4 linked regions of the Mus musculus genome follow. The protein of the gene in region 3 interacts with the protein of the main gene of each other region in a pairwise test. Links are inferred from orthologs where the notes say so. Each region holds a gene or a part of one and is shown on either strand. Other genes may lie near its edges. The genes, in order: Cebpa, Dbp, Ddit3 and Fosl2.

Region 1 (4,287 bases), on a different chromosome or scaffold from region 3:
AGGGACTCAGTCTTTAAACTCAGGGTGTTCTCAGCTTAGTCCTTACCCCTTCCTTGACTGCCATGGCACATCACCAAGGTAAAGAGAGACTCCAGAGATGCAAATTTAGGACCCCAGACACAGACAATGCTGTTTCAAACGGAACCCAGCCCAGAGCAAACCTTACAAGTGGCTTCTCTCTGGTTTTAAAAAGACACCAAAATTGAGTTTGATATGTTTATATTATAGATATAATACATACGACATCTAGCATGAAACTTTGTGTCCCCCCCCCCCAAAAAAAAGAAGAGAAGGAAGCGGTCCAGCCCTGCTCCCAGCCACAGGGGTGTGTGTATGAACTGGCTGGAGGTGGCCTTCTTTCCAGACCCAGAGCCAGGGCCGTTGGGGATGGGGTTGGGTGGGTGGGGAAGCCTAAGTCTTAGCCGGAGGAAGCTAAGACCCACTACTACATACACCCTTGGACAACTAGGGGAGAGGGGGAAGCCCACTTCATTTCATTGGTCCTCTGGGAGGCAGACGAAAAAACCCAAACATCCCTAAACCAAAAAGAATGAGAGCCTCACTCAGCTCCTTCCCCCAGCCGTTAGTGAAGAGTCTCAGTTTGGCAAGAATCAGAGCAAAACCAAAACAAAACAAAAGACCAAATAAAATGGTGGTTTAGCATAGACGTGCACACTGCCATTGCACAAGGCACCGCTGGGACACAGAGACCAGATACAAGTGTTGATATCGGATGATAAAGCAAAATATTTGGGAAGCTTGTCATAACTCCAGTCCCTCTGGGATGGATCGATTGTGCTTCAAGTTCCTTCAGCAACAGCGGCTGGCGACATACAGTACACACAAGGCTAATGGTCCCCGTGTCCTCCTATCCCCCACCCCACAAAGCCCAGAAACCTAGGTCTCTGTCTCCTACCACATGGCTAACTCACAACTCAGCTTTCTGGTCTGACTGGGGGTGGTGCCCCCATTCTCCATGAACTCACCCAGGAAACCTGGCCTGTTGTAAGCTGAGTGGGGGGGGGGGGATGTAGGTGGAGGTGCAAAAAGCAAGGGATTAGGAGCCCTCCACCTCCCTGTAGCTGGGGGTGAGGACACAGACTCAAATCCCCAACACCTAAGTCCCTCCCCTCTAAAGACAGGGACTGAGGGGCAGCTCAGGGCACTGCCGGGATCTCAGCTTCCTGTATCTTCCTCCTGCCCTGGGCCTGCACCCTTCATTTTTCTCACGGGGCCAGCTGAGGCCCGAGAGGAAGCAGGAATCCTCCAAATAAAATATCAAGGCACATTTTTGCTCCCCCTACTCGGTAGGAAAAGGAGCGAGTTTTGAGTATCCAAGGCACAAGGTTACTTCCTTAATACTAGTACTGCCGGGCCCCCAGCTCAGCTCCGCGGAAAGTCTCTCGGTCTCAAGGAGAAACCACCACGGCCTGACTCCCTCATCTTAGACGCACCGAGTCCGGCTCAGAGGAAGGGAGGGGACACGCGGAGCAGGCCAGGCTTTCAGGCCACACCGGAATCTCCTAGTCCTGGCTTGCGCGGCCCGGGCAGCCTAGAGATCCAGCGACCCGAAACCATCCTCTGGGTCTCCAGCCAGGGGGCCGGCCCAAGGCGGTCCCGCAGCCGCGCGCCTCACGCGCAGTTGCCCATGGCCTTGACCAAGGAGCTCTCAGGCAGCTGGCGGAAGATGCCCCGCAGCGTGTCCAGTTCACGGCTCAGCTGTTCCACCCGCTTGCGCAGGCGGTCATTGTCACTGGTCAACTCCAGCACCTTCTGTTGCGTCTCCACGTTGCGTTGTTTGGCTTTATCTCGGCTCTTGCGCACCGCGATGTTGTTGCGTTCCCGCCGTACCCGGTACTCGTTGCTGTTCTTGTCCACCGACTTCTTGGCTTTGCCCGCACCGGCACCGCTGCCACCGCCGCCGCCTCCCGTGCGGAGGTCGGGGTGCGCACCGGCCAAGCCCTTGAGCGCGCTCCCGGGGCCAGGCAGGCCCGCAGCACCCAAGGCGGGCGCAGCGTGCGGGCTGGGCACGGGCGTGGGCGGCGGTGTGGGGTGGCCAGGCTGCAGGTGCATGGTGGTCTGGCCGCAGTGCGCGATCTGGAACTGCAAGTGGGGGGCGGCCAGGTGCGCGGGAGACGCGTGCGGGTGCGGCGGTGGCGGTGGCGGCGGTGGCTGGTAGGGGAAGAGGCCGGCCAGCGCCAGCTGCTTCGCCTCGTCCTCCTCGCGGGGCTCTTGTTTGATCACCAGCGGCCGTAGCGCGGGCGCCCCGACGCGCTCGTACAGGGGCTCCAGCCTGCCGTCCAGGTAGCCGGCCGCCGCACAGCCGTAGCCGGGAGGGGGCCCGTGCGCCCCCGCGGACATGACCGCGCCGCCGGGGCCCGCCGGGGCTCCCGGGTAGTCAAAGTCACCGCCGCCACCCGCGGGGCCCGCCGCCGCCTTGGCCTTCTCCTGCTGTCGGCTGTGCTGGAAGAGGTCGGCCAGGAACTCGTCGTTGAAGGCGGCCGGGTCGATGTAGGCGCTGATGTCTATAGACGTCTCGTGCTCGCAGATGCCGCCCAGCGGCTCCGGGGCGGCAGGTGGGGCTGGGGGCGGCGCGGGGCCCGCGCCCCGGGGAAAGCCAAAGGCGGCGTTGCTGGGCGCGTGCGGGGGGCTCTGGAGGTGACTGCTCATCGGGGGCCGCGGCTCCACCTCGTAGAAGTCGGCCGACTCCATGGGGGAGTTAGAGTTCTCCCGGCATGGCGAGCCTCGGCGGCCTCCAGCCTGCGCGTGGCGCCGCTGTCGCCGCCGCCCACCCAGTGCCCCAACTGGCTCGCGCCCGCGCAGCTTCGGGTCGCGAATGGCCAGGCCCGCGCGGGGACCGCTTTTATAGAGGGTCGGGCATCGCCCCCTGGTGTCCAAACGGGTCTCGGATCGAAGGCGCCAGTAGGATGGTGCCTGCTGGGTCTTAGAGCCCGCCTTCTCCTGTGACTTTCCAAGGCGGTGAGTGGGGAGCATAGTGCTAGTGGAGAGAGATCGTGGCGCAACGCCCACTGACTCCTGCGCTGCAAGGCGAACCCGGCTTGCAGCGCTCAGCCCCACCCCGGCGGCGCTGTCGCCCCCGCACACACGTGGTCCGTGGTTAGGCGCCCCTCCTTTAAGCCTCTAAGTCACCCACTTCCAGCCAACACTAGGGAGCCCGGGAGCATCTAGAGGCCGAGCGAGGGGAGGTGGAGGTTGGGGAGCGTTTGGAGAGAGAATGTTGGTTTTGAGCTACCGTAGTGCAGACTTGTGTTAAAAGCTGGGACTAGGCCTGTCTCCCACCCGGATTTCTAAAAGGCTGTGGCGGAGAGCCGCGGCGCGGGAGGTTGGAGACTGCTTTGGACCAGCAACCTAGCGCGCACCGCCGAGTGGCGAGGCCGGGAGCGCAGAGATTGTGCGTCTTTTTCTCTGAACTCCACGCGACCCCACGGCTTCCAGGCAGAGCACCTCTCTTTCGCCCAGCTTCTCTAGAACTACAGGGTCCCACGGGCTCTTCAGAGTAGTAGGGCGCTAGGACCCGGCGGGGAGCGGAGGCGGCCGCTAACCCCGGAGCCTGGTGGACCTGGCTCGTCCACTCGCCTAGGCTGGAAAACTTTCTTTTTCATTGCGTCTCCAGGCCAGAGCGATAGGATTGCTAGGCTTACCAGGCAGACGTTGCTACCCAGCGTGGAGCACTCTAGTCAAGTGTTCGGGACACCACCACCCCACGCCCGGGACCAGCCGGTGGGTCCTCTGAGCCTCGCGGAAAAGGACCCTAAGGAGAGCGCACAGGGGCCGCGAGAGGGCAGGGTGTTGGAGAGGAGTGAACTTGAATCGGGGACTGTGATCCCCAGGCGGGGCCCATAGCCAGGGGCCTGAAGACACAGTTTTCTTTCCCTACTGTCATTCATGGGGGCACTAATCTCGGTAGCTCGGGTGTCCAATTCCTAGCTACGAAGCCTTTCGAGCACCCACTTGGGAGCCCTCCGCGCCGCGCCGCCTACAGGCTCGCGGCTGTGGGTAGGAGTTTGCGTGCATCGGCTCCCAGCCACGTGGCGTCTCGTTCACCCTCCACCTGGATCGCGGCCGCGGAGGTCCGGGGGCAGAAGGGGCCTGGTGAGCACCCACGTCTCTCGTTTTTGCACCCCGAAGACCGCGGCTTCTTGAGCTGAGGCCTTTCGTCCTCTCGAACTCCATTTGTCCGTGTTCCGTGACCTGCTGCGCTCTAGGGTCGCAGGTCAAGACCCCCAGTGCAATGGCCTTTTTAGGCCAGGAAAGGCCCTGCGATCC
Region 2 (4,033 bases), on a different chromosome or scaffold from region 3:
GAAGGCAATTCTATCATTGTAAGGCAGAAATGACTGGCCTTAAATATCCCGTGAATCTTCTAAAACCTCTAAACTTCAGACTCAGTGTTTTGTTCCCACTGCTGTGTCCGAGTCCTACTTACTGAACCCTTTCTCAGAGCTTAGACCTGTTAGACCAGCACTCCTAGGAGTGATGGAAGTTTCAAGAGCCTGGCTAAAAAAGGTTGAGTCCTGTGTCTTTAAGAACAAATAAGCCCGGGTCAGCCGAGGACACCAGTTCAGGGCCGCATCACGTGTGGCCTACAGCTTCCCCTTTCCCCTCCTCCCCAACCAAGCACCCGCACGTTCCCGGCCCCGCCTCCTCGCGCGTGAGAGCGCGTGCGCGCAGCTAGGAAGGCGGACTCACGTGGCGAGGGAATGTGCAGCACTGGTTTTTGCCTGGAGGTCGGATCAGGGACAGGTGTACCCAGGCGTCCCACATCGAGACTCCTTGTCTTGATTGGGGTCGCCTCCCTTCTTGTTCCTTTTGGTCTCAGCTCCAACATCTACAATGATTCTACCCACCCATCCCGCGCTATGGGGGAGGATCGTGGGAGAACCGGCCTGCCAAGCTCTTTGCCATCCAGATTCCCACAGTTCTGAGATCCTAGGTCCCCAACACAGGGACATGGGAAAGCTCCTCTGTAGAAGCCAGAAGAGGGATCCCGATATTCTCTTCTGCAAGACTGGGAGGCAGGATGCAACACCATCCACTTGGGGAATGGGGTGTGTGCGTGTGTAGGATCCGGGAACGTAGTACCCCGCTCTGGCCTGCTCGCTCCCATTTTTGGTGTCCTTGAAGTCCAGTCCCATCTCGTTTCCCAAAATTCTGGACCCAGACTCTGGAGATAGTACTCTCCAGTTAACTAAGGTGTTCTAAGTTTCTAGTCTTGGCTCCAAGAACATGAGGAAACTTGTCTTAGAGAAGAATACTGCCTCTCAGTGAATAATCCTTTCGCATTTGGGGACCCAAGTCCCCTAAAGGATCGCAGCATCTCATTGGGCAGACTTCCAAAAGTGTCGCGAGGCCCCGCCCTGCCCGACAGCCCCGCCCCTTCGCCGCACCTGCGCGGTGGCCGCCGGCGGCTCCCAGAGTGGCCCGCGCGGGGGCGTGCCCGGGCGAGGAGCGGGGGGAAGAGGAGCTGCAAGAGCCGGGCCCGGGGGAGGGCGCGGGAGTGCGCGCTGGAGAGGGTGCCGGCGACAGGCCCCCGGGGGGCGGCGGGCTCGGCGGTAGCCCGTGCTCCAGCAAGAAGGCGTCCAGGTCCACGTATTCCACGTCCCCGAAAGGCAAAGTGCGTTCCCACAGCAGCGGCGCAAAAAGACTCGGGCCAGCCACAGGCCCTGAGCGCCCCCGAGGGGACCCACCGCCACTAACGGCCCCACTCGGGGCATCGGCTGGGCCCGCCGTTTCCAGGCCGGGTCCCGGGACGGGGGCTGAGGGCAGAGTTGCCTTGCGCTCCTTTTCCTTCAGGAGACCTGTAGGCCAGGGAGAGACCGGATGGGGTGGAGGGACACAGGAGGGACCCCAAGTTAGAGATATGGCGGAGATACAGAGAAGTGAGGAGACGGGAGCCGTAGGGCAAAGACCCAGGGAGGTGGGTACAGGCAGGGAGAGAACCCAGAAAAAGAAGAGAGGGATAAAGACGGGGCTTGGGGAGACCCAGAGAGAAAAGAGAACAAGGCCCCAGCAATAGAGGGTCAGGGAGACGGGGACCCGGAGAGGGGGAAAAGGCAAAAGTATACAGAAGGATAGGGTTAGGGGCCCGGGAGGGGATTAAGAAACACAAGCACAAGCGACCCAGAGAACGAGGATGGAAGTTTAGAAAGAAGGGTTTAGTGACAGGGTGGGTGAAAGGTTGGGCAGGTGAGAAAGAAAAAGTGACAGCTCAGTAATTCTCCCACCCCCAGCACCCTCATCCCCTCCCCCACAGTCTGTTGGGGCTGGAAGGGGCTCCACTGCTCAGGCACATTCCTCATCCCTAGTTTCCATGTGACCCTGCGAGGCCCCGCCCAAGCCCGTGTCTGCACCGTGTGAGCATCCGACACACCCCCTCCCTTCCCCTAGGACTCCAGGGGTCCAGACTCTGAGGCCAAAGGAAAGAAAGAGGGGTCTGGCACCTAAACTCTGTCCTCAAGTAGGAACACTCCAGGGACTTGACCCTTAGGCCCTCCAGGCGTCAGATTTGGTCCTGGAGGCTGATGGACTGGAAGACCTAAGTGACCTAATGAAGACTAGCAAAGATGGGACACCTAGCTGATAGGTGCCGTGGACCACCACCCCAACAGTTGAGTCCCTAACACAGTGGGACTAGAACTCACAGCTGGCCGGTTCTTTGGGCTTGCTGTTTCCCTGCAGAAGGCTCCTCAGCCCAAGCAGCGCTCCCCCGCCAGGGGGGGCCCCAGCCGGGCCACCCAGCAGCAGGGGGCCCGGGGTCCTGTCGCTCAGAGGCCGCGCCATTGCCGTGGACCTGCTCCCAGGTTCATGAGCTCATGGAGAGTCGAAGAGATGAGATGATATGTCAGTCACCCGCACACTCCAGTGGTTCGGGCGAATGTGTCCCAGAGTCGGGAGAGCGCGGCGTGCAAGCCTCCAGGATCAGGACGCTTCAAATCCTAAGAGCGCTGCGGGGGTTCAACCAGTCAGTTCTGCAGAAAGGTGCAACTCAAAGACTGTCCCGGGAGGCTCCTATAGTCTGGGCGAGTGGGTGACCAAATCAAGCAGCTGTCTCTTTGCAACTGTGGGTCCCCAAGGGACACAGGCGCGCGCTCCTTCTGTACCAAGTGGGCGAGTCTCTGGCTCTAGCCAATTTTGCACTTCTCGCAAAGAAAGGAGCTTTGCAATCTGCACCCAGAGGTGTGCACCCAGGGGCGGAGGAGGGGGCAGGAGGAGGTGGCAGCCTTGAGGCGTGGCCAAAGCAAACTTCTTTCGCGGAAAAAAAAAAATCTAAACCAAAACACCGGACGCCAGAGCGCGCGCCCCTCCTCCGGGCCCCCTCCCTCCACTTGGGCCATGCACCCCAGCCGCGTGCCTTCCTCCGGCTTCTGGCAAGAACCAATCACGTCTCGAGCCCTTGAGACGCTCAGCCAATGAGATGAAGGGATATGCCAAGACCCTGGAGGCGCGTGAGGGGCTGAACTTGTGTAGTTGCCTCGCCTTTTGGAAGAAGGCGGGACACTGACCTATATTTGGCCAATGGGAGGAGGCGCTGGAGGCGGGACCGTGACCCACTTCGGGCCAATGAGGCAGGAAGAAGGGGGAAGCACATGGCTTTGCGCGTGCTATCGGATGCGGGTGTGGGGCAAGAGGGGTACCTCTTAAAGGAGCCGAGTGTTCACAGACTCATTGAGGAAAAAAAGCAGAACATCAATTAGAGCAGATTAAGGCAGAAAGAAGTGGGCTTCGGGAAGGATTTTTTTTTTTTAATATCTAGATGTTCCTCAATCGCGACTGATAAACCACCGAGAAACCGGAAACATTCAGTCCTTTTAATAGCTTTGTTTTGGGGTGAATCCCCTCCCCTGGTGAGGAAACTCAGAACAGGCGGGCGTAATCCTCGTTGGGGAGTCTCAGCGACCGTGAGGACCACCGTCCACTGCAAAGGGAAGCACCGGCTTGAGGGGTGTGGGAGCTGAGCACATAGGACTCTACTAGTCAGGCTGCTAAGGGGGAATGGAATATACCAAGTTGGGGGAATGATCAGCTCCTGGACCAGACCATGTAGGGAGGGAAGAAGGCCACATGGGACGTGCAGAATAGGCTGGTTTGCATAAAGGTACATGGAGAGGATATGGTCTTCTGGGCTGTACCATGTTGAGAAACCAGACAAGAAACTAACCGATTTCCCGGGGCCGAGCCACAGTGGCAGTAAGAAAGACAGAGGGATTGTACCACGCTGATTCTCAGAAAGGGAATAGCAGAAAGACTACAGCTCTAAGTAGGGTCATACCATTTGTAAACAGGTGACCTGGACCGTACCATCTTGGCAAGTAACAGTAGGCAGAGGGCATGGACCAG
Region 3 (4,323 bases):
TAGCCCCTCTCTAGATCCTTTCTAACTCCTCCTAGCCCTTTTCTAGATCCTTTCTAAAATGGGTTGTGAGATGGTTTCTTTGTGCATCCCTGGGCATCCTGGAATTCTGGAACTCAACAACTCTGCAGACCAGGCTCCAGTTCTTCTCTTGTAATACACACACACACATACAGAGGTGTGTGTGTCTTGCAGCGGGTGTGTCCCTGAAGCCATTTCTTCTCTTGTAATACACACACACACACAGGCGTGTGTCTTGCAGCGTGTGTGTCCCTGAAGCCAACTCCAAGGACAGAGGCAGGCTTAACTTTATTTTTAGTTGCTGACATTTGCCGTCTTGATTACATAATAGCAAAGTCCTGGCCAACTAAGTTTTCTCTAAATCCCAGATAGACCTCAAGTCCGCCAAAGGGAGACAGAACTAGAGGGAAGGAAGAGTAAACTCAGCAGTGCTTGCTCAGATTCCATCCCCCCACTGGCAGCCTCAGTGCAGACCTGCTCTGGGATCTCCAGCTCCTTGGCAGTGTTGAGCAGGCGTTCAGCTTACATGAAAGGCCTTTCCTACCAAGGCTGTATAGTTCTTACTAAATGGCAACTCTAGGTGCTGAAAGCCAAAAACTTTGGTATCCTTGATGCCCCTTTCTCAGATACCACAGCTCAGCCTAAAGCACTGACAACTTTAAAAGTACCCCAAACCTAAGTATTTCTCATTACTACATTATTTCCAGATGCAATTTTTTATTTTTCATTTATTTATTTTTTTGGTTTTTCTTGACAGGGTTTCTCTGTGTAGCCTTGGCTGTCCTGGAACTCACTGTGGACAAGGCTGGCCTCGAATTCAGAAATCCGCCTGTCTCTGTCTCCCAAATGCTGGGATTAAAGGCGTGCACCACCACTGCCTGGCTCCAGATATAAATTTACCATACATTTCTTTCCCTGGATTATTTTGGAAGCCTCTTTGAAATCTCTCCTTTCTTTCTTCCTTTCCTTTCCTTTCTTTCTCTTTTAGACAGGGTCTCACTATGTAGCTTTTGCTGTCCTGGAACTTGCTTTGTAGACTCTCTGGCTTTGAATTTAGATCTGCCTGCCTTTCAAGTGCTGGGATTAAAGGCTGTGCCACTATGTTCAGCTGAGACCTCCTGTTTCTATTCTTGTCTTTTACTTTATTTTCACGGCTGTGGGTTGACCTAGGGTCCTCTACATACCAGGCAAGCAGTGTACTATTGAGCTACATACCTAACCCTTTGTTTTTGTATTTATTTTGAGTCAGGGTCTCATAATGTAGCCCTGGCTGGCCTGGAGCTCAGAGATCTGCCTCTCTGAGTGCTGGAATTAAATGCATGTGCTATGATCATTCCTCTGCTCAGATCCCCCAATGGCTTCCTGTTTCATGATTGTTAAAGATTAGCATCATGAGGGTGCTTGCAAGGCTCTATGAGACCGGCTGCTTGAGTTTCCTTTCATCACCCTCTCCTGCTTACTCTAGTCCTGTTCCTAAAGATACCGGCATGGCATGCTTATCTTAACTCTGTTGCTCAGCCTCTCCCTTCTATAAAGCTCTAACACCGGGGCTTGGCTCACAGGCTTGGCTTCTGATGACAACCTCTAGTCACCGCCCTGAACTATTCTGCCCTGCTTTTGTTTTTTTTTTCCCTTTTGCTTTATACTGAAATGTAAGTTTTATTGAGAACAGTTTTATCTTTTGCTCCTAATATACCCTGGGTCCCCAGATACTTGGTACATAGTGGGTGCTTATTAGGCATTTGTTAGGAATGAATGGGGAAAAAGCCCCTCCCCCAAGTTCCCTTATAGAGAATTAAGCCCACTGAGCCTAAAGGCAGAGCGGAGCTGGCTGTCTCTGGGGACTGCAGATGCAATATTGCCCTGAGTGTTTCTCTGCAGGGTTGTCCTCTAGGGAAAACTCCCTTGGTCTTCCAGTGTGTGGGACCTGGCTTTCATCAGCAGAGGAGCCCCAGGCCTGAGGGTGCAGAGACAAACAGTGGGCTGGCCTGACGCAATGGTTACACAGTTTAGTTAGGAGACGGGACTGAGGAAAGAAGCAGAGATCAATCAGCCCTGGGAGAAGCAGAAGACCCTGGAGAGATCCCAAATAATTTCCCATAGTTAAAGAGATCCAGGCTGCTCTCTTGTATGGAAACCTAGAAACCTCTGGGGAAAAGGGAAAAACCCATCTATGCTCCTCCCACCAGCACCCCCACTCGCAAAGATCTGTCAGTCTTCGCGTTCTCTTGAACTTGAGAGTCAGCTACTAACGTGGCCATGTTGGCCCCTTGACTGAGGCGCTTCAGCTTGAAAGAGTTGGGGGGAATGAGGCTGGTGAAGAAAAGGCTGAGACAGCCAGAGTCCCCGACTTTGGGGGTGTGTCCTGCTGCCCCGCCTTTCCTGCGAACTGCCCAGGCCTAAGCTGGCCCGCAGTTCGCACTACAGAGACAAGTTCCCGAAGGCAACCGGAGTCCCTCTGCAGAGTGGGGACCAACTCGAGACAAGGGAACGGGAATGCAATCGCCCAATGCAAGAGAGGGCCTGTAAGCACCATTCCTGAATCAGGGATTCCCGGCCTTCACCCTTCCCAGTCTACAAGCTTACAGTGGAAGGGGTGGGGCTACATCCTCCAGAACAGTTGTCTCCAACTTTATAAAATAGCTATGCTGGCCAGGATGGGAAGGTAAGGGTTAGACGGAGCCAGTACTCGCCTCTCTCCTCAGGTTCCGGCTGTTATTCTGGCTCTGTCGCTGCCACCCGCTCATCTTCAACATGATATAATCGACGTGTTAGGCTCAAGATAACTGACCTCAAGAGCGGAGAGCGAGTATCCTTTATGCTGTCCGGCCCCTCCTGGGGGGGGGGCAGGGTCCAGGAGCCTACCAATCAGAAAGCGGCACGCTGGCACTGGCTCCGCCTCATCCCTTACATCCGCCACTCAGGAGTCTCACGGCCCCACCCCCATCGCGCCCTCTGGCTTGAGAGTCTACGTTGTCTCGGACCCGGAAGTGGCTTTGGGTCACGCGGCTTCGCGGAGGAGGTGAGTGAGTCATGCGCGCGCGCGGAGGAGAGCGCGGCGAGGGAGGGGATGGGGGGGCGGGGATGATGCAATGTTTGGCAACCGGTGTCCGCGCGCGCACGCGCAGGGGACGTCGATGGTGGTGGGAGGTGCGGGAGGGGGGCTATGGGGGAGAGAGGAAAGAGGGCGGAGCGCCAGCTCCCAGTGTCCAACGGCCCCAACGGCTGTCCTTCCTGAACTTGTCTGCCCACCTCCCATCACCTTTAACTTACTCCTCCATGAAAGGCTCCCATTTTCCCTGGCCCCTCCCAGCTAATGGGCACCGGGGCTCTGGAACCTCTTTAAAGTTTCCAATTTGTTCACCTGGATTGACATCTCCTCGAATCTTTTAAGAGCTCTCCTCCTCTTTTAGCCTTCTAATGCGTCCCAAAGACTGAGTTCCTTGATAGTCCACCCGCTTCTCTCAGAGAGGCACCTTTAACGCTTGTTTCTGAATCGTCCATTACGTGCTAGGATTGAAGTTCTTTACAGAGTGTAGATTGCTGCCTCCTCCTCATCCCACCCCTGCTTTGTGTGATGCTCTTACGCCCTTCACTAAGCCCAGTATCCACCCTCTTCCTTCTCCGAGATAGCGAGTCCTGTGACTCCCTGCTGAGGAGCTGGCCTCCTGCCTCTAGCTGTCTGAGTTCACGACCTACAGTAGAGCCTGGGACGTGCATGCACTTGAACGCATGATTGCCCTGGACTGGGTCATCAGAGGAAACACAGATTCTAGTTTAATTTGTCCAAGGATTCTACCTTACTCATTTGTAAATTAAACAACGATAAAGGTAAAAAGCAGCTCTGTGGAGAAAACTTGAGTAAAAGTAAAAACATCTTGCAAAACGTATTTTTTTTTTTTTGTGCCATGAAAACAGAGGCCATGTGGTGGCCTATTACATAGTCTGTCGTAGACTCAAGAGGGGCAAGCCAGAGTTTAAGTAGAAACTGAACCAAGACCGGTTGCTATTGGATGGTGCGACGGTGACAGGTCCTTGGCCAGACTGCTCCTTCGCTCCAGACCTTCATTTCCCCTTCTGTTAGTAGAGGTGGGGGGTGGGTTGGACCAGATGGTCTCTCCTGGCCTAAAGACAGACCAGGTTGTCAGTGACAGGCAGAGGTCATGTGACTTGACAGGCTGAGGTCGTGTTGTGACATGTTGACCTGGAGAGGCGGGTCAAGTCTCTGCACACTACCCGGGAAGCCTTTGGGGCGGGGCAGGGCAAGTCGCGACTTTCATCTTTTAGGGCTGGCCCCTCCCGGAC
Region 4 (4,242 bases), on a different chromosome or scaffold from region 3:
CACCCCGCCAAGACCCGGCCGCAGGGTGGCGCGGGTGCCCGGTGCGCCCAGGACGCCCGCTGTACCGGGCGGCGCCGCTGAGGGTGCGGACGACTGCGCACGGCCGCGCCCTCCCCGCGAGCAGCTCTGCGCGCCGGGCTCTCTGCCTCGCGGTGGCGCCGCACTGAGCCGCCCGTCTCGTCTTCAGGGCTGCGATTTTTTTTTTTTTTTTTTTTTTTTCCTTTTCTAAAACCCGGAGCCCAGGCCGGCGCGGCCGCTTTCGGGGCCCCGCCCCGCGCCCCTTCCTTTTGGTTGGGGATGGAGGGGAGGAGGTAGGGAGGCCAGGGCGCAGGCGGGAGCAGGCGAGGGAATCCCTCTCCCTCCACGTCACCCGAAGGCGAGGAAACCCGCATTCGCGTCCTCTAACGCAAATGACCATCTTTGGCAACGTGCGCCAATGGAACAGACCAAGGGCGCTGCGCCCCAGGGGGGGTGGAGGAGTTCGGCGAGAACGCGGGCGGCCTCGGCGCCCCCGTAGTGCGAGGGCCGCGCTCTCCCACCCTCCCCGCCTCCCGCCTTCCTCGCGCGGGGTCTGTGGCTGGCGTCAGCGCGACCGCGAGCGAGGCCGGGAGGGGAGCGCCCCGCCCGCCTTCTCCCCTCCCCTCCCGCGCCTCTTCCTCCTCCTCCTTGTCCCAGGCCTCCTCCCCCGCCGCCTCGAGCGCTCCTCCCAGCAAGGTGGAGTCTAAGGTTGACGTGAGTGGATCCACATGGTGCGGGGCTGGAGAATAAAGAGTGTGGAGTTGAACTCGTGCCATTGTAGTGACTCATCTCGGGCAGAGCGCAGGGGCTCGAAGCGAGACAGTGAGCGGCGCTCGGCAGGGACAGAGAGAGAGAAAGAGAGCGAGCGCAAGAAAGAGGGGGAGAGAGGGGAGGGCGAAGCGAGGCGAGAAGCGCGAGGCTTGGCAGGTCCTGGAGCCAGCACGGGGTGCAGGTCACTGCGACGCGGAGCCACGTCCCTCTCAGCACCGCTCAGCCTAGAATCCCACGGGCGCTGTCCCACCGGCGCGATCGGGGCCGCTGGACCGGCGCTCACCGCCTTGTCCTAAGTCAAGTGTCCGAGTCGCCGGGAAACTCAGGCGGCGAGTTGGCCACAGGAAGTTTATTCTCGGGCTCCTTTTCTAAAAGGAGGAAACAGAAGTTTCTCCCAACCGGCAGCTTTTCTTTTTCGCCTTTTTGGCGCCCTGAGAGATCGGGGAGGGAGTCCCCCAGAGCTGCCAAGCGACACCCGCGGGGCTCCTAGTCTTTTTGCGTTGCCCATTTTTCTCCAGCCCGTGGGTCCCGGCAGAGCTCCGGCTGCGCGCGGGGGCGGAAGGGCGCGCGCAGGGGAGGGACCGAGGGACGCGCCGACTTTTTAGAGGGAGGGACTCGGTGGACAACCGGTTCCGCGGAGCTTGCAGAGCAGAAACGAAGTGCGGTGCGCGGCGATCGGGGGGGTCACTTCCCGAGTGTCGCTGCCTCCTGTCTGCCTTGGTTAGGGGACATCCCGGGAGCGAAAAGCCCAGCCCGTGGCCGGGCCGGTGGACCAGCGAGCGCGCAGCAGACTGTGCGCGGCCGCGGCGAGGGCGGGGAAGAAAACCACCCTGTTTCCTCTCCGGCCCCCACCGCGGATCATGTACCAGGATTATCCCGGGAACTTTGACACCTCGTCCCGGGGCAGCAGCGGCTCTCCTGCGCACGCCGAGTCCTACTCCAGCGGTGGCGGCGGCCAGCAGGTACGTGCGGGCCGGGGTGCACCTGGCGGCGCGGGCAGACTCCTACCCTCTTCTTGCTCCCACTGCCTCCACCCCCAACCTCCTTCTTTTCCCTTTCCTAGCCAGGCTAGAAAAATACTTCACCGCTGTAAGTTGTGGGTTTCTTTTCTTTTCTTTTTCTTTTTTTTTTTCCTGTTCCGCCCTACCCACTCTCCACTTTTCTTTTTCTTTTTCTTTTCTTTTCTTTTCTTTTTTTTTAAGCAAGTGGAGAGTGGGCTTGAAGAGCCAACGACACCCTCTCCCCCTTTTCGTACTTAATTTTCCAGAAAAGCTCTTGAAATTACAGGTCCCCTCCGGGAAGCCTGTTGCCTCCTTCCGAGCCGCTCTCCCTCCCTTTTCACGTTCCTCTTTCTAGGTAGTGGATAGGCAAGAAAATTTTTGCGCCCCCTAAGCCCCTCCCAGCCGTCAAGGACCCTACGGGGGGGGGCGGGGGGGAAGGCTTTTTAACCCTTTCTTCTTCTGTTATTCTTCGGTCTTAGCTGTTTTCTGAAAGGGATTGGGGACTCAAAAACAAAGCTGGGCTCCTTCAAGTGTTTGGGAGTGAGGGCGAGGGTTGCCCCTGGGAATTAGGTGCGAAGGTCAGGAAGGAAGAAGCTGGCTTTGATTGGCTCTTGACACCTCCTGTGACACCCCCCCTCCAGCTTCCGGTAAGGGTTGGGCAGGAGCCTGTACTTCCCCCCCCCCCCAGCAGAACTTTGAGGGGCTTGGGGGTACCTGGGGCAAAGAAGCTGTCAGAGAGAAGTGGGAGAAAGAGACACATCGCTTGAGCTCCTGAGTGGATTTAGAAGTAGAAAAACATCTCTTTCTAAAGCAGCCAGACTGGTTTGCACTGAAGGATTGTGCCTGTAATCTGTGTCTTTGTAGGTACCAGACAGGTATTGGTGGGGCGGTAGGGGTGGTAGGGTACCTGGCCTGTGTCGCAGGAACCACAAACACCATCTTGTGAGGGAATTGCATGAACTCAAAAGGTCCTCTGCCACCTGAAGCCCACCTTGGCAAGCATCTGGGAGTTCCTAGCCAAGCTGGCTGCAGCCAGAGTTACTCCATAAGCCAATAGCCATGGCCTTGACTTTGACCTTTAGAAGTCAACCAGATAGGAGGTCAGGGGTCTTCCAGGGAAGGGTGGAGTGAGCTGGGAAATATAATAAAAATATGGCTTTCTTTGTAATCTGACAAGAGGGGCACCTCTCTCAAAGTAATGTTCCATATCTGGGGAGTCCTTCTAAATGACTTTTCTGTGTCTAGCTCCTCCCAAGCCCCATACCTACTAAGCACCCACTGTAGACAGCCTGGTCTGAGCATTGAGGGTCCAGTCAGTGGACCCTTTCTTACTACTGAACACCCAAATCATACCTGAGAAGTAGTCGCTTATGTTTGCATCCCAGTACATTTGGTGTTTTGGGTTGAACCCAAACATCACTCATCAATGGGTTTAGAGTCCTTTATACCTGTTGTCCCCTACTTTCCAATCCAATAACCCCACCCCATGTACCTCTCCTTTCCAACCAACATAGAAGCTTTGCGTTTCTGTTTCTTCCACTAATGAGACCAAGACAGTGAGCACTGACAGTACAATCTCCCTGCCTGGCTTTGCTCAGACTCTGGGGCCTGGATGGGAAGTCAGACCGGACATCAGTGCCCCAACTGAATAATCTGTGTCACTAGGGCTTTGAGCCCAGGATGTGAGCGGAGGCAATTCCCTGTTTTGGAAGCAAATCAGACAGGAAACCGATGCTCGGATGAAGGAAGAGAGCTCCGTCCAGCAGTGTGTAATAGGGCCTCATTACCCAAGCAAAAAGCAGCTGTTGGCTAATTCCTAGCATGCTGTAACACAGGAGGATTTTGCAATTAGCAGCAACCAGTGCATGCGATTCTCAGGTATAGCTGCCTATTCTGCTCAGCCTTATGAGCAAGAAGTCTTTCAAACCAGAGGGATTGGCAAGGTAATGCCACTTAAGCCAACTCTCAGCCTTGTCGGGGCGGTGGGTAGGAGACGAGGAACAGGGGGAAGGCTTCCCCCTCCCTGATCTGGCTGTCTATAAAACTGTTCTGTGGTCCCAGTGATAGGCCTCTGTTTTTGTTACTTCCCAAGTCTGTGCTGCTACCCCACCCCAATCTGGGCTCAAGGTAACTTTATTACATGCCAGATAAAGTCTGTAATCAGCTCTGCTCCCAGCCCTCTACATGGGGAAGCTTTCCTGGCAGTTAGTGACTGGGCCTTCCTCCTTTATGACTGCACGGTGGACCAATCCAATCAGTGGAACTTGTGAGAAGTTCCTGGTTTTCCTTGTGCAAGTGCATACTATTTTCCCCCTGTTCTCCTTGTTTGTGGGGTCCTGTATCCCCATAAATTTGCTGTCTGGCACTCCCCCCCCGACCCCCCCCCCCGCGACATCTAGCTTCATAAGGTCTTAATACTGCGTCTTAGTACTAAGTACCTAGTACTTCCCCA

Evidence for each region.
Region 1: the proteins of Ddit3 (region 3) and Cebpa interact in binary tests that used the Homo sapiens proteins (3 or more experiments, as listed by UniProt). The link is inferred for Mus musculus from reciprocal best matches to the Homo sapiens genes DDIT3 and CEBPA.
Region 2: the proteins of Ddit3 (region 3) and Dbp interact in binary tests that used the Homo sapiens proteins (3 or more experiments, as listed by UniProt). The link is inferred for Mus musculus from reciprocal best matches to the Homo sapiens genes DDIT3 and DBP.
Region 4: the proteins of Ddit3 (region 3) and Fosl2 interact in binary tests that used the Homo sapiens proteins (3 or more experiments, as listed by UniProt). The two-hybrid records come from large-scale screens. The link is inferred for Mus musculus from reciprocal best matches to the Homo sapiens genes DDIT3 and FOSL2.

What each region holds. Positions count from the first base shown.
Region 1 is NC_000073.6:35,117,844-35,122,130, reverse strand, and holds Cebpa (CCAAT/enhancer-binding protein alpha), read right to left. Parts: upstream 2,839-4,287; 5' UTR 2,824-2,838; coding exon of another isoform or gene 2,713-2,823; coding exon 1,633-2,712; 3' UTR 203-1,632; downstream 1-202. UniProt on the Homo sapiens protein: Transcription factor that coordinates proliferation arrest and the differentiation of myeloid progenitors, adipocytes, hepatocytes, and cells of the lung and the placenta.
Region 2 is NC_000073.6:45,704,067-45,708,099, reverse strand, and holds the start of Dbp (D site-binding protein), read right to left. Parts: upstream 2,854-4,033; 5' UTR 2,477-2,853; coding exon 2,338-2,476; intron 1,495-2,337; coding exon 1,084-1,494; exon of another isoform or gene 525-1,083; coding exon of another isoform or gene 386-524; intron 1-385. UniProt on the Homo sapiens protein: This transcriptional activator recognizes and binds to the sequence 5'-RTTAYGTAAY-3' found in the promoter of genes such as albumin, CYP2A4 and CYP2A5. It is not essential for circadian rhythm generation, but modulates important clock output genes.
Region 3 is NC_000076.6:127,289,280-127,293,602, reverse strand, and holds the start of Ddit3 (DNA damage-inducible transcript 3 protein), read right to left. Parts: upstream 2,811-4,323; 5' UTR 2,712-2,810; exon of another isoform or gene 2,605-2,711; intron 1-2,604. UniProt on the Homo sapiens protein: Multifunctional transcription factor in endoplasmic reticulum (ER) stress response. Plays an essential role in the response to a wide variety of cell stresses and induces cell cycle arrest and apoptosis in response to ER stress.
Region 4 is NC_000071.6:32,135,055-32,139,296, forward strand, and holds the start of Fosl2 (fos-related antigen 2), read left to right. Parts: upstream 1-1,417; 5' UTR 1,418-1,649; coding exon 1,650-1,751; intron 1,752-4,242.